3 linked regions of the Canis lupus familiaris genome follow. The protein of the gene in region 3 purifies or fractionates together with the protein of the main gene of each other region. This does not show direct contact. Links are inferred from orthologs where the notes say so. Each region holds a gene or a part of one and is shown on either strand. Other genes may lie near its edges.

Region 1 (3,745 bases), on a different chromosome or scaffold from region 3:
AGCAAACTCCACTTCCCTTACAAGCTGATTAACCTCGCCAACTTCTATCTGTTTAACCTCTAATCCTTAGTTTCTCCGTTTATAGAAAGAGGAGAGGATTTACTTTTAAAGTTATTACCTAAAGTCACTCTGTAAGACATCTAGGACATAGCTGGGTCTCAGATTAGTAACCTTTCTGTTGAGGAAGTCTTCTAAGACCTTTCTAGCTCACTGGCCTTCTCCTCTCTTTAGAGAACCTTTGGCTACTTACAAGTCTGAACAAAACAGGTCAACACTGAGCACTCAAGATGAACTCTTGCCCTAAACGCAGCGAAAACTCAGAAATTAGGATTAGCCCTCCCATGACTGCAAAGCTACCTTGCTTCCCTGAGCCCCATCTTCCCTATAAACATGCTAGCCAGGCAGCCTGGGATGGGGGGGGGGGGGGGGGGGGGGGGGTGTTAGAAAAAGATTAAGTATGTAAGGCAGAGGAAAAGAAAAAGATGAAAAAGATGTTACATGTTATGTGACAGCTATAGGCCCACCTGGGGGATTATTATTCAGCAGGACCCAGAGGATTTAGCCAGGAAACCCGCCAGTTTGGTTGACTGCCTTGGGATGGAATGGGCCGTTGGGGGTGGGGGTGTGTGTCTCAGAGGAAAACAGAAGAGTAGGAAGCAAGAGTTTGGAGGTGGAGCTGAAGGGTGTCAGGACATTTGGGACCAGACACGGAGGGGGTGTGGGTGGGTTCGGTAAAGTTCTTTTTTGTTTGCTTTGGGAGGGAAAGAGAAGAGGCCCTAGAGAGGGGGGCTCTGAAGTTCTTCCCACCAACTCAGCCCCGTCCTCTTCACTCCCCCTGTGGAATCTCAAAGTGCTGCAAGTTTAATAGGTTTAAGTTTACTGAGCGCTTAACTAAAAGCACGGTGAGCACTTCCATGAGCTTTTTTTTTTGTTTTTTGTTTTTTTTTTAACGAGAATAGCACCTCCAGTCAGTGCCAGGGGCTCATCCGGGGTGCTGAGGTGCAAGGGGAGCCTAAGCGCCTGGGCCCCGGGGAGGAGGGCGTGTCTGGGCCCAGGCTGACAAGACCCGGGCCGGCCCCGGCATCCAGAGCGGCGGGTCCAGGCCCCGTGAGGGCGGGCCGGCCGCCTCCTACCTTTGAGCGAGGTCTCCACCAGGCGCAGGTAAAGCTGCGAGCTCTTGTTGCCGTGGCTCATGCGCTGGGCGAGCCCGTTGCGCTGCAGGACGCACTCCTCAAACTGCACGACGTTCTGGTGGCGCCGCTTGAGGCTGGTCAGGGCCCAGAACTCGGCCAGCGCCAGCTCCACGTTCTCGGGGGCGTCGCAGCGGATCTTCTTGACCGCCACCCGGGCCCCGCTGCGCCCGGCCACTGCCTCGTAAACCACGCCGTAGCTGCCGCGCCCGATCTCCGCCAACAGGCTGTACCGCGGCCGCGCCGACCCGCCGCCGCTCTCTGGCCGCCGCCGCGCCAGGTAGGCCTCGCCCGGGGCCTCGGCCGCCGCCGGATCCATGGCCTGGGCCGCCGCCGGCCTCAGCTTCGCGCTGGGCGCCCGCGGCACTGGGCTTCGCCTTTTCCGCTCGGGGCTTTGTGTACCTCTGCGGGCGCCGTCCTCCTCCCCCGTTTCCATGGCTGCGGGCGGCGGGGGGAGCAGCAACGGCGCTGCCCGGGTCCCCCCTGCCTCATCCCTCCGTCCGGCCACTGGACGCGGAGGAGCGGGACCTTGGATTGTGACCTGCGGGCGAAAGAGTCGGTTAACCAACTAGGCCGAAGCGGGAAGGCAAGGAGCGTAGGCCGCAGGGCGTCCCACCTCCGCCTCCTCCGGCCGCCGCGGCCCCTTTAAGACGGAAGCCGCCGCCGCTGACTGAACGGGGGGAAGGGAGGGGAAAGCGGGAAGGGCGACACCACTAGGCTGTGGCTCAGAGGGGGAACAGGAAAGAATAGCAACCCCCGCCCCGCCTTCTCAGCCAGTTTGTCGCCTGAGACTAGGAAAAACTAGGACCAGCAGTTTTTACGACTTAAGAAAATTGCCTTAAGAGCCGTTCTGACTGCGGAACTCTTTTTCCCCGCCTCGTCCCCTCCGGGATCACCCTCCCCGCATCCCGCCTTGGGTTCTCCCGGGTGTAAACAGTCCATTGAATTAAGCCGGAGCGGAGCCCGGCGGAACGACCCAAGTCCCCGAGGGCGGCGGGTGGAGGAGGTTGGCTCAGAAGTTCCGCGTCCCTGAACCCGCCAACCTGGGGACCCAGCGGCCCTCCCCCAGCGCCCGCGGGGACGGAGGTGGGTGCAGCCTCGGCGCTGGCTCGGACTCCGCAGACTGCGCCCTTACCTGGCCGGCGCCCCTCCACTTCCGGGCGGCCCGCTTCCCCCCTGGCGCCCTGGGCCGGGGATGGTCCGCTCCAGGCCAGGGCTGCCTCGCGTACGGAGCGGCGCGGGAGGCGGCGGCCCGGGCCGGGTGTGCCTGGGAGCCCGCGGCGGCGCGGGTGGCGGCGGCGGCGCCCGCGGGGGAGAAGCGGGTGTCCGGGCTCCCGCGGCTCTCCACGTGCTCGCGCCGGCTGAGCCCTTTACATAACCTGTTTATATAAGCTGCGCCTCCCGCCCGCACTCGGGCCAGCGGGGGCTCCTGGTGGCCCATCCCCCGGGAGGCCGGCCGCGCGCCGCGCCGCCTGGGTCCTGCCAAGGTCGACGGAGCAGCCGCAGCCGGGCGCACCGGGCACGCCGCGCCGGGGCCCAATCACAGGCGAGAACACCCAGCCCACGAAAAATAGGCGCCAAACTCCCGGGACCCGCTGCGCCCCCCTCCGAGGCTCTGCGGCCGCCTGCCCCCTGCAGCCTCCTCCCTCTCCGCCTTCGCTGCTTGAAGAGGGGCTGCGCGCAGTAGGCTCCTAATAAATACTCATTGTTGATTGGCTTGGCGGTTTGATTGATTCATAGGCAGTGCCTGGGAACCTCCCGGACTGGATTGGAGTCCACACGCTGCCGCCCAGGAGCCCGTTGATTCGGGGCAAATCATCGTCAGGTTCTGTGCCTCGGTTTTCTGTTCTGCAAAATGGGTGATTGGACCTTAACCTCCCAGCGCTGACAGAGCCAAATGAAATACATGTAATTTGTGTGTAAATACATATATTAAGAGTGACTAAGTATATATGAGTACACATAGTAAGTGGCTAATTGGGTGCGAGGCTGAAAGTGCTGTTTTGTTCACTGCTTTGTACTCCAGTGGCCTAGTAGGTGCCTGTGATTTTTAAACTGAATCTGTTGAGTATTTATTGGCTTTCTATAATGTGCTAGGCACTGTTCTAAGTCGCTGGGGAAAGAGCAATGAACCAGACAATCTTTACCTTCAATGAGGGTCTATACCCCTGAAGGAGACCAGTGATATGGTGACCTTGTGCAAGTTAATTAACTTTCATGTGTCTTTACTTTCCATCTGTAAGATGGTGAAGAACAGTGTTGGAGGCCCTGTGCTTATACAGTTAAAACACTGAGAACAGGACAAGGTCTTGCACACACTAAGTGTTAGATACTATTAACTAAGCACATAGAATAATTTTTGACATGGATAAGTATGATGGAGAAAAAGAATGAAAAAGTGCTTTGGGTTTGGGACAGGTCACTTCTGATAGTATGAAGGTCATTCATTGAAAGGTGGTAACTTTGGGGGGGGGTAAAATTTAAAATTTACATGTAAGTTACAAGGATAGTAAGGAATTCTCATGTACTTTTTTTTTTTTTATATAGAACCTTAA
Region 2 (3,745 bases), on a different chromosome or scaffold from region 3:
CTTTGGCTGGCTACTCACCATCTTCAAGGTCAAAGTTTCTGGAAAATCAACAAAGTGCTCTGTTGAAATTAAGTATACTTACTGGTTTGTATACCTTCTTATGTATGATTTAATTATCTGTCTCACTGTTTGCAATGCTTGAAAAAGATTTGTTATATCATGGGCAAATCTAAATATTTGAATAATAATAATAAAGCAGCTAACACTTTGGTATTACCATGTATCAGGAACTGTTCCAAGCACTTTTAATCCTCAAACAATATTATGAAATAGATGTTATTACAATCATTTTATAGTTGAGAAAACTAAATCACGAAGAATTTAAGCAACATGCCTAAGGTCAAACAGCTACTAACTGGTAGACCTGGGTTTTGAAACCTGGCCACTTGGCTCTGACATTCATAACCATAACCATTACACTATACCGCCTCTTGCACAAACTGCTTCAAAATATTACTGTTAAAAATAAACCAAAGAATTAATCATTCTTATGATGAGCACTCCACTGCTTCTCCTTAAAGCTGACACACACAAAAGTTCATAAACATGTCAAAACGAAAAAAACCCTCTCACAGAAATATAACTGGCTTGTGCTTAGGGACTGAAAGTGAACCAGGTTACATATAGAACTGAAAATATGTAGGTTTTTTTTTTAAAAGTAAACAAACTGTATATGTCCCTATTTTAATTTTGCTATTTCTCATTTCTTGCAAAATAAATGAAGTTTGTGGAGAAAAAATGGTCCTTTAAAAATAAAGCAAGCTACTTAGAATATTGTTACCTTTCTGTTGTTAAACACCTATTTAGATGTAGGCCATTTTTGCCACCAAAAACTGTCCTCTATATGATGGGGCTCTTGGACAGGGTGCTTTCAAATTCAACTTGATAAATCATTTAAAGGCTTAGAAGCAAAGGCCTGACACAGAAATGCTGGTGAGTTGAATCAAGAAATTCTGAAGTGTGCCACCTCATTCTCCAAAGAATGTTAAAATCCTCACGAGTTTCTGGAACAGATTCTCATTTGTAGATTGCCACGATGGGCAAGAGATTGTACAATCTTTACAGCGTGCAGTTTGGAGAGGAGGGGAAGAAGCTATTGGCTGTTGAGCTTGAAAAATTGGGTACAGCTACTTTAAGTTCATAGGATGGATTTAATAAAGAAAATGAAAGCTTCTGAGATTACTTCCTTGGTCCCACTTCCTCTAACTGGAACCCCCTTCAAATTCCTGCCGCAATTCCTAGCGCCCGATGCCCTGCCACGGACGCCTTGCCCCAGGTCCACCCACGGCGCTCTCCCCTGCTCCCCGTGGAGCGCCAATTACTCTGCAGCTCAAAGCGGCTCGTCTCCTGCAGGCTGTCCCATGGCCACGCGCGAAAGAGCACCCGAGTAAGGGGGAGGGGGCGTTCACGCAGCCCCTGGACGCGAGCCCCCGCGGCCGGCCGGCCGGCACTTCCCCGGCCTCCCGCGGGCCCCGCCGAGCCCGCGCACGGCCGCCGGCGGGCCAGGCCACACACCTGCCGGCCCGGGAAGGGCCAGTCCCGGGCAGAGGTGTTGCCCGACGCGGCGGCTCAGCGCCCCGCTCATTGGCCGAGTATCAGGCCCTCCCCCTCCCCGGCGGCGTCCAGAGGAAACCCGGAGGGGATCCTCCCGAGGCCCTTCACCCCGAGGAGCCAGTCCCGCGGCGGCCCCAACTCCTCGGGGCTGGCGGCTGAGGCCCGGGGCCTGGGGAGGAGCCCAGGGGCAGAAGAGGAGGCCGCAGCTGGCGCCGGTGGCCTGAGGGGTGCGGGCCGGAGGCCTGAGCAGCGCGGGGCCTTCCGTAGGATGACTCCGCTGACAGGTCTGTGACAGGCCTCCCGGGGAGGGAGGCGCATGCAGGGTCCTTGGCTCTGCAGCAGGGCCTCGGTGCCAGGCCTAAGGGCCAGATTTACCTCAGGGTAGCCGCCGCCGCTTCTCCCTCTCACGGGCGCTGCAGGCCGCCATTATCGGGCAGCTCGCGCCTCAGCCGCCGCGGCCTCCAGTCAGAGACCGGCGCGCGCCCCCGTGGTGCGCGCGGACACACCCCCTTACGCCGTGCGGCCCCGCCCCCCTCCGGCTTTCCGTAGCGCGAGCCGGGACGCCGAGCGCCGTCCCTATTGGGCGCGCGCCCCGCGCTCCGCCGGCCTCCTCCCTCTCCTGTGGCTCGCGGGAGCCGGGAGTCGCCGAAGGTGTGCGCGCCCCGGAACGCACCACTAGTGCCCCTCCCTGCAGGGGTGGCCGGGCCCGGAACGGGGAGGCCGCTGCCCGCCGGGGCTCGGTCACCGTCCAGCCGCAGCGAGCGCGCACGGCCCGCGGCCCCGGGGGACGGTCTGCGGCAGCGGGTCCGGGCCTGGGGGTGCGCGCGCCCGGCGCGCCTCCCCGCTGCCTCCCCGCCCCCCTTCCCACCTACCGAGCTGCGGGCAGGTGTGCGGGGGTCGCTGGGGCGGAACGCCTGGTGCATCTTCTTGGGTTCGGGCCTGGGGTTCCTGCGGGCCGCGGAGCTGTTCGGCTGGCCCGCGGGGAGGCGCGGCCCGAGCTGGGAGGCCTGGCGTCCGCCCCGCCGGGAGGGAGGCTGCACCTTTTGTCAGAGTCACTGAGCCATGTTTGCGGACGGTGTAGTTGCCCAGGCGGCGGCGGCGCGGGACTGGGTGCGATCATCCGGGAGGACGCCGTCCCCTGCCCCGCCGGCGCGGTGGTATCTCCCTTAAAGAAGCCGGCGCCTCATTGTTCCCGGGCCGCGGCCGCGGGGAGTCGGGGGCGCCCTGCCCGGCGCGGGGCGGGAGGGACGACGGCGCCCGCACCTGGCCCTGCCGGGCGGCGGCCCCCGCGGGGAGTCGGGATCCAGCCGGCGCGCGGCGACGGGCCGCGGTATGGGGCGGCCGGGGGCCGGGGTGGGCCGCGGAGACAGCGGTTCTCTCGCGGCCCGGCGGACAGCGGCCCCTCAGACCCCGGCACGCAGTCGCCTGACAGCCGGCCCGAGACTGTCGGTGGCTCAGAGACTCGGACCAGCCCAGTGTTCAGTCAGTCACGCGGCCCAGTACGCGTCCGCCTGAAGCGTCCGTCCCTTCCTCACTACTGAGTTCTGCACCTGCTGTTTGTCAGTAGAGTGGTGGTTCCTCTCCGGTGCGGTGCGGCGTTAGGCTCCACGTGCGGAGATTCCCTGTCGGTGCTCTCAAGATCAGCCACTTACCCCTTTTATTTGCTGTCCTCTATTTATGGACCTTGTCCAGAGAGTCTGGGACTGGGTTAGGTCTTTCAATTAGCTTTTCTAATCCTGACCAAATCCCACAGGGTAGGCTTCATTACTAACCCTGTTTTACAGGTGAAGGACACAGATGCTGCCTTATTTGACCAAAAGTTGTGTAGTTTGGGGCGTGTGTGTGTGTGTGTGTGTGTGTGTGTTCCGGTGTACCTGCCTTGAATACCCACTCTCCCGGTGTAATTACCCCGCTAAAAAACCCAACAACACCCAGCTCTGTCATCTATTAAGACTTTTGTCCTGAGTATCATAGATCAGTCTCCATCAGCTGTCTGCTGGGGTATTGATGCCAGCCAAGGCTTAGTTTCTGCCCTTCAAAGTAGAGGGAAACTATGGAAGGCCTTAATGCTTGTGTGGGTAATTGATCAGAATCAGGAGAGTGGTATCTCCTTTGGTTAGAAGAGCTTTTTTTTTTTTTTTTTTTTTTTTTTTTTTTTTCCTTTTGTCTGTCTCGGTCATTAACTATAGGA
Region 3 (3,745 bases):
TAAATAAATAAAATCTTTAAAAAAAGAAAAAAAAACAGAAGAGTATGGATTTTGTATTATAATAATCTTATGAAGAAACCTCTAGACAGAATCTCAAACATAAGAATAGTTAGATAAATTTGGGGAAGAGCAAACTTCTCCAATTCTTAATTTCTTAACAGTGGAAAAAGAATAACATTACTAGCTCAAATGAAATGCCTGAGACATTATATTGAATATTATAAAACATACCAATCCTATTCAGTTTTTCCATACAATCCTATTTGGAATTTCTATACACCTACAAGTCCACAGAGATTATTAAGGTCTATACCACTAGAGCTTTTACTTTCTTTCAACTCCTACTGAGAAGAATATGAAAAGAGCACAGGTACTGTATGAACGTAGAATTAAAACAATTTGGGAGAGTTTTTTAAGACAAAATCTACACACAATCCTTACTCAGCTATCTGTAAACCAAATTTTATTAAAAACATTAATGTTTAAAAAAAATTAATGCTTTATAAACTACCCAAAAAGGTCATTAAAGTAGAGATTAAAACCTTCGCAAATCAAATAATTTATTCTACATTCTTTTAGTCACATATTTGGCCCTATTCTTTAAACAAATAGGCTCAGCAAGTATCCAATATGCCCTCATCTCCACTTCCCACCCACTCTTCTTTTGCTCCTGGAAGACAAGTATGAGGTTCAATTCAATCCTAAAAGACTGCTTCACCTAAGAGCTACTTTTGCCTTGACTTTCTTTATGACCTTGGGGGGAATCTACCAAAAGACAATTATAATGATGTTGTTTATCACTGAAATTTAATCCTAATATGCTAACATTAGTAAAGTCATCTAAACTAAACCTAGAAAAGCGAAAAAAACCTTTGAGCTATAAACATTGACTGATATGTAACATAAGCCACATTTAAAAAATTTAGCTAGTTAAGGGGGAAAAATACGAAGGCCTCAAATTCAACAATATTGAAAAACAAATTCTGAAAAACACCAACTGACTCTACTTTTCTCTATGGACAAATGGTTTGCAATATAAGAAAAAAGGTGGGGGGGGGGGGCGGAATGAAACTAGCCTTAACTACCGGTTCCTTGCTTTTGTAAGGATTACAGGTGGACAACAAACGAAGAATTTAAAACTTGGCAAAGAATGGGGAAACTGTATGTAAAGAAATCTACAATCTGAAAATTACTAAGATAAATCTATCTTTTAAGTACTAATTTGTATATCCATATTGGGCAGTAATCATGGTACCGCTTTATTAGCGCTAGAAAGATAAATCCTTGCCTAGGAGGAACATTTACTAAGTACATTTCATTTCAAGATCTTAGGGCAGTTTACGAGCAGTATCTCTTTAGGCTTCCCTAAGGTACTCTAAAGTGCTTAACATCATTCACACATCCAGCCACCACTAGGGTGAGAAGTAAATAAACACGATTTACTTATGCAATTATTTACCACAGAATTCTAGTCAAGAATGAAAAAGTAAACATGCACATAGTCATTTAATACCCAAGGAAAGCGGCGACTACTACGGCCGATAAGATTCACCCTTAATTGACCACTACAGAAACCACAGGCCTTCCACATGGGCTGTCCTTTACTACCACTCCTGATTCGAAAAAGTAACAATGTCAAGTCAACATTTCAACAGTACAGAAGATAAACAGAACTTGATGAAATATCTAATTCCAGATCCTCGAAAGATGTTTATAAAAACTGAGATAGAGCAACGCCCCCCTAAAAGCACCCTACTAGAAAGAATGAAATATCGAAAACATCAGGTGGGCCAAGGTTAGAAAAGCTGATCTAACCCAACTACCCAGAGGGACCACAGGGTTTGGGACTAGGAACGTGAGATCGGGGTGGGGGTGGGTAGCAAAGTGAAATCTAACCCCAGAAATCACAACACAGGCCGCAGCCCGGGAGCTGAAGCTGGCGGGAAGTGAGCTCCCTTTCTGTTCCCAGGGGAAAGTCCAGAGAAGAGCGGCTCCACACCGCGCACTTACAGGGCGCCAATGGTGCATGCCTACCAAGGCGCCGAGCCGCTGGAGAACCCGGTTGGGAAGGGGAGGAGACCCCGGCAGACGGCCCTGGAAGAGGAGGACTAAGGTTGGAAGCAGCGGCAGTGTCTGGACGAGGGGGATTACCTAACTGTGACGACAGAGAAGTATCCTCAGGCTCCGGCGATGGTCCCGACTGCGCAATGTGTGGTGTCTTTCCCGCTTAGCCCGCAGCAGCAACAGAACCAGCTCCTTCAGCCAGTCGCCATTTCCCGCCTACCGACCTGCTGCACCGCACGGACAGAGACCCGGATGGAAAGCGGCCTCTCCGCGCAGGCGCCTTGGCTTCCTCCTCCCCCTCCCGCCACAATTCCGCGAGGTGGGAGGGAAGGAATGCGGGAGGCTTCAGCGGCAAAAAAAAAAAAAAAAACCCAAACCAAACCAAAACAGAAAACAAAAAACAAAAAGCCCGCACAAAAACAAAAACAAACAAACAAACAAAAAAACAACTTTTAGTTCCGTAAAGGGCCTTGGAGTTCCTGCCGCCAGAAGAAACTCACAAACCCGATTCTTGACAAAAATTGAACGCAGACCCTTAGGACCGAATGGAGGAACAAGGACAAAACCTATGAGGCTACACCAGGGCCCGGGGGATATTTGTACTTTAGGGGCCTCCGTAGCTGGCTGTGTAGTGATTGCAGGAGGAGTAGGGAGTAAAGCGTTGGGAGTGAAGAGGCGGGGATCCGAAGGACGGTTTTTCCTCCCGCTGCTAACGGAACTGCTTAGGCAGGGCTGGGAGGGGGAGCGCGCCCTCGCCCGGGAGGCGGGGCTTAGGAACGCGGCGCTCGCCCTGGCCGCTGGGGTTTAGCAACCCGGGCGCGCCAGGTGGGTGGGGCCAAGCGGGACAGGGTGGGACTAACGCCTTGGCGCGCTGGAGGAGGTCGTGTGCAGGGAGCGCTGCCGGAGGCCGTGGTGAGACGAATCCTTCCTTCTTTCCAGGGATCCGGGTGGCCGTTGAAGGTCCTCTTTCCAGCGCTCTGCCTAGAGAGCATAGCAGTCGCTTGTGGATCTGCCATGCACACCCACGCCGTTCGACTCCACGCGATGTCGGCGGTGGTCCTTCCGAGAAGCCAGATCGTTCAGACAACTGGGGTCCTACCTGCATTACTGAGTCTATCTAAGGACCGACCGTCAGCCTCACGGGGTGGAAATGTGTCAATCCAAGCGCCCAGCCCTAGTGGAATATCAGAAAACCGAGTGTAGTGGTTGGAAGAGCATCATCTCTTTGCTAAAACTCTTGGGCCATTCACGTTATTCAATCAAGAAACATTTACTGAAAAAAACACAGGGTGTGAGGACCATACTAGATGCGAGGGATACAAGGCAGACGTGGACCCTGCCTTCCCAGAGTTCATGGTCTATTGAAGACAAACAAGTAAACAATTTAAATACAGCTAAAATGACCACAAGGAGTTCTTGACAGGCGTACAACTGAGTGAGGGTTTGAGATGGCTTTCATGAGATGATGGCGTGAAGAATCGATGTTAGAAGGGAAGTGTCTAGGTAAAGGAAACGACAGATGGAAAAATCCAAAAATGAAATTGCACTGAGCAATTAGGGAAGTAGTTCTGTGCACCAGGGATACAGGAGTTGAGGGGAAGATAGTGGAGAGAGATGAGACGCAGGTAAGCAGAGAATCTTGTGAATCTGGTGGTTTCAAAGTGTGGAGGAGGTGGGTTGT

What was found.
Region 1: the proteins of CTDSPL2 (region 3) and STK35 purify together in Homo sapiens (affinity purification with mass spectrometry; 3 studies listed by BioGRID and IntAct, counting the BioPlex papers as one, with this or other methods). This does not show direct contact. The link is inferred for Canis lupus familiaris from reciprocal best matches to the Homo sapiens genes CTDSPL2 and STK35.
Region 2: the proteins of CTDSPL2 (region 3) and PDIK1L purify together in Homo sapiens (affinity purification with mass spectrometry; 4 studies listed by BioGRID and IntAct, counting the BioPlex papers as one, with this or other methods). This does not show direct contact. The link is inferred for Canis lupus familiaris from reciprocal best matches to the Homo sapiens genes CTDSPL2 and PDIK1L.

What each region holds. Positions count from the first base shown.
Region 1 is NC_049245.1:19,408,056-19,411,800, forward strand, and holds the start of STK35 (serine/threonine-protein kinase 35), read right to left. Parts: upstream 2,647-3,745; 5' UTR 2,632-2,646; coding exon 2,326-2,631; intron 2,277-2,325; exon of another isoform or gene 1,732-2,276; coding exon 1,134-1,731; exon of another isoform or gene 957-1,133; intron 903-956; exon of another isoform or gene 710-902; intron 1-709.
Region 2 is NC_049223.1:73,256,850-73,260,594, forward strand, and holds the start of PDIK1L (serine/threonine-protein kinase PDIK1L), read right to left. Parts: upstream 2,674-3,745; 5' UTR 2,427-2,673; intron 2,069-2,426; exon of another isoform or gene 1,930-2,068; intron 1,839-1,929; exon of another isoform or gene 1,645-1,838; intron 39-1,644; 5' UTR 22-38; coding exon 1-21.
Region 3 is NC_049251.1:11,394,072-11,397,816, reverse strand, and holds the start of CTDSPL2 (CTD small phosphatase-like protein 2), read right to left. Parts: upstream 2,365-3,745; 5' UTR 2,157-2,364; exon of another isoform or gene 2,152-2,156; intron 2,142-2,151; exon of another isoform or gene 2,011-2,141; intron 1-2,010. UniProt on the Homo sapiens protein: Probable phosphatase.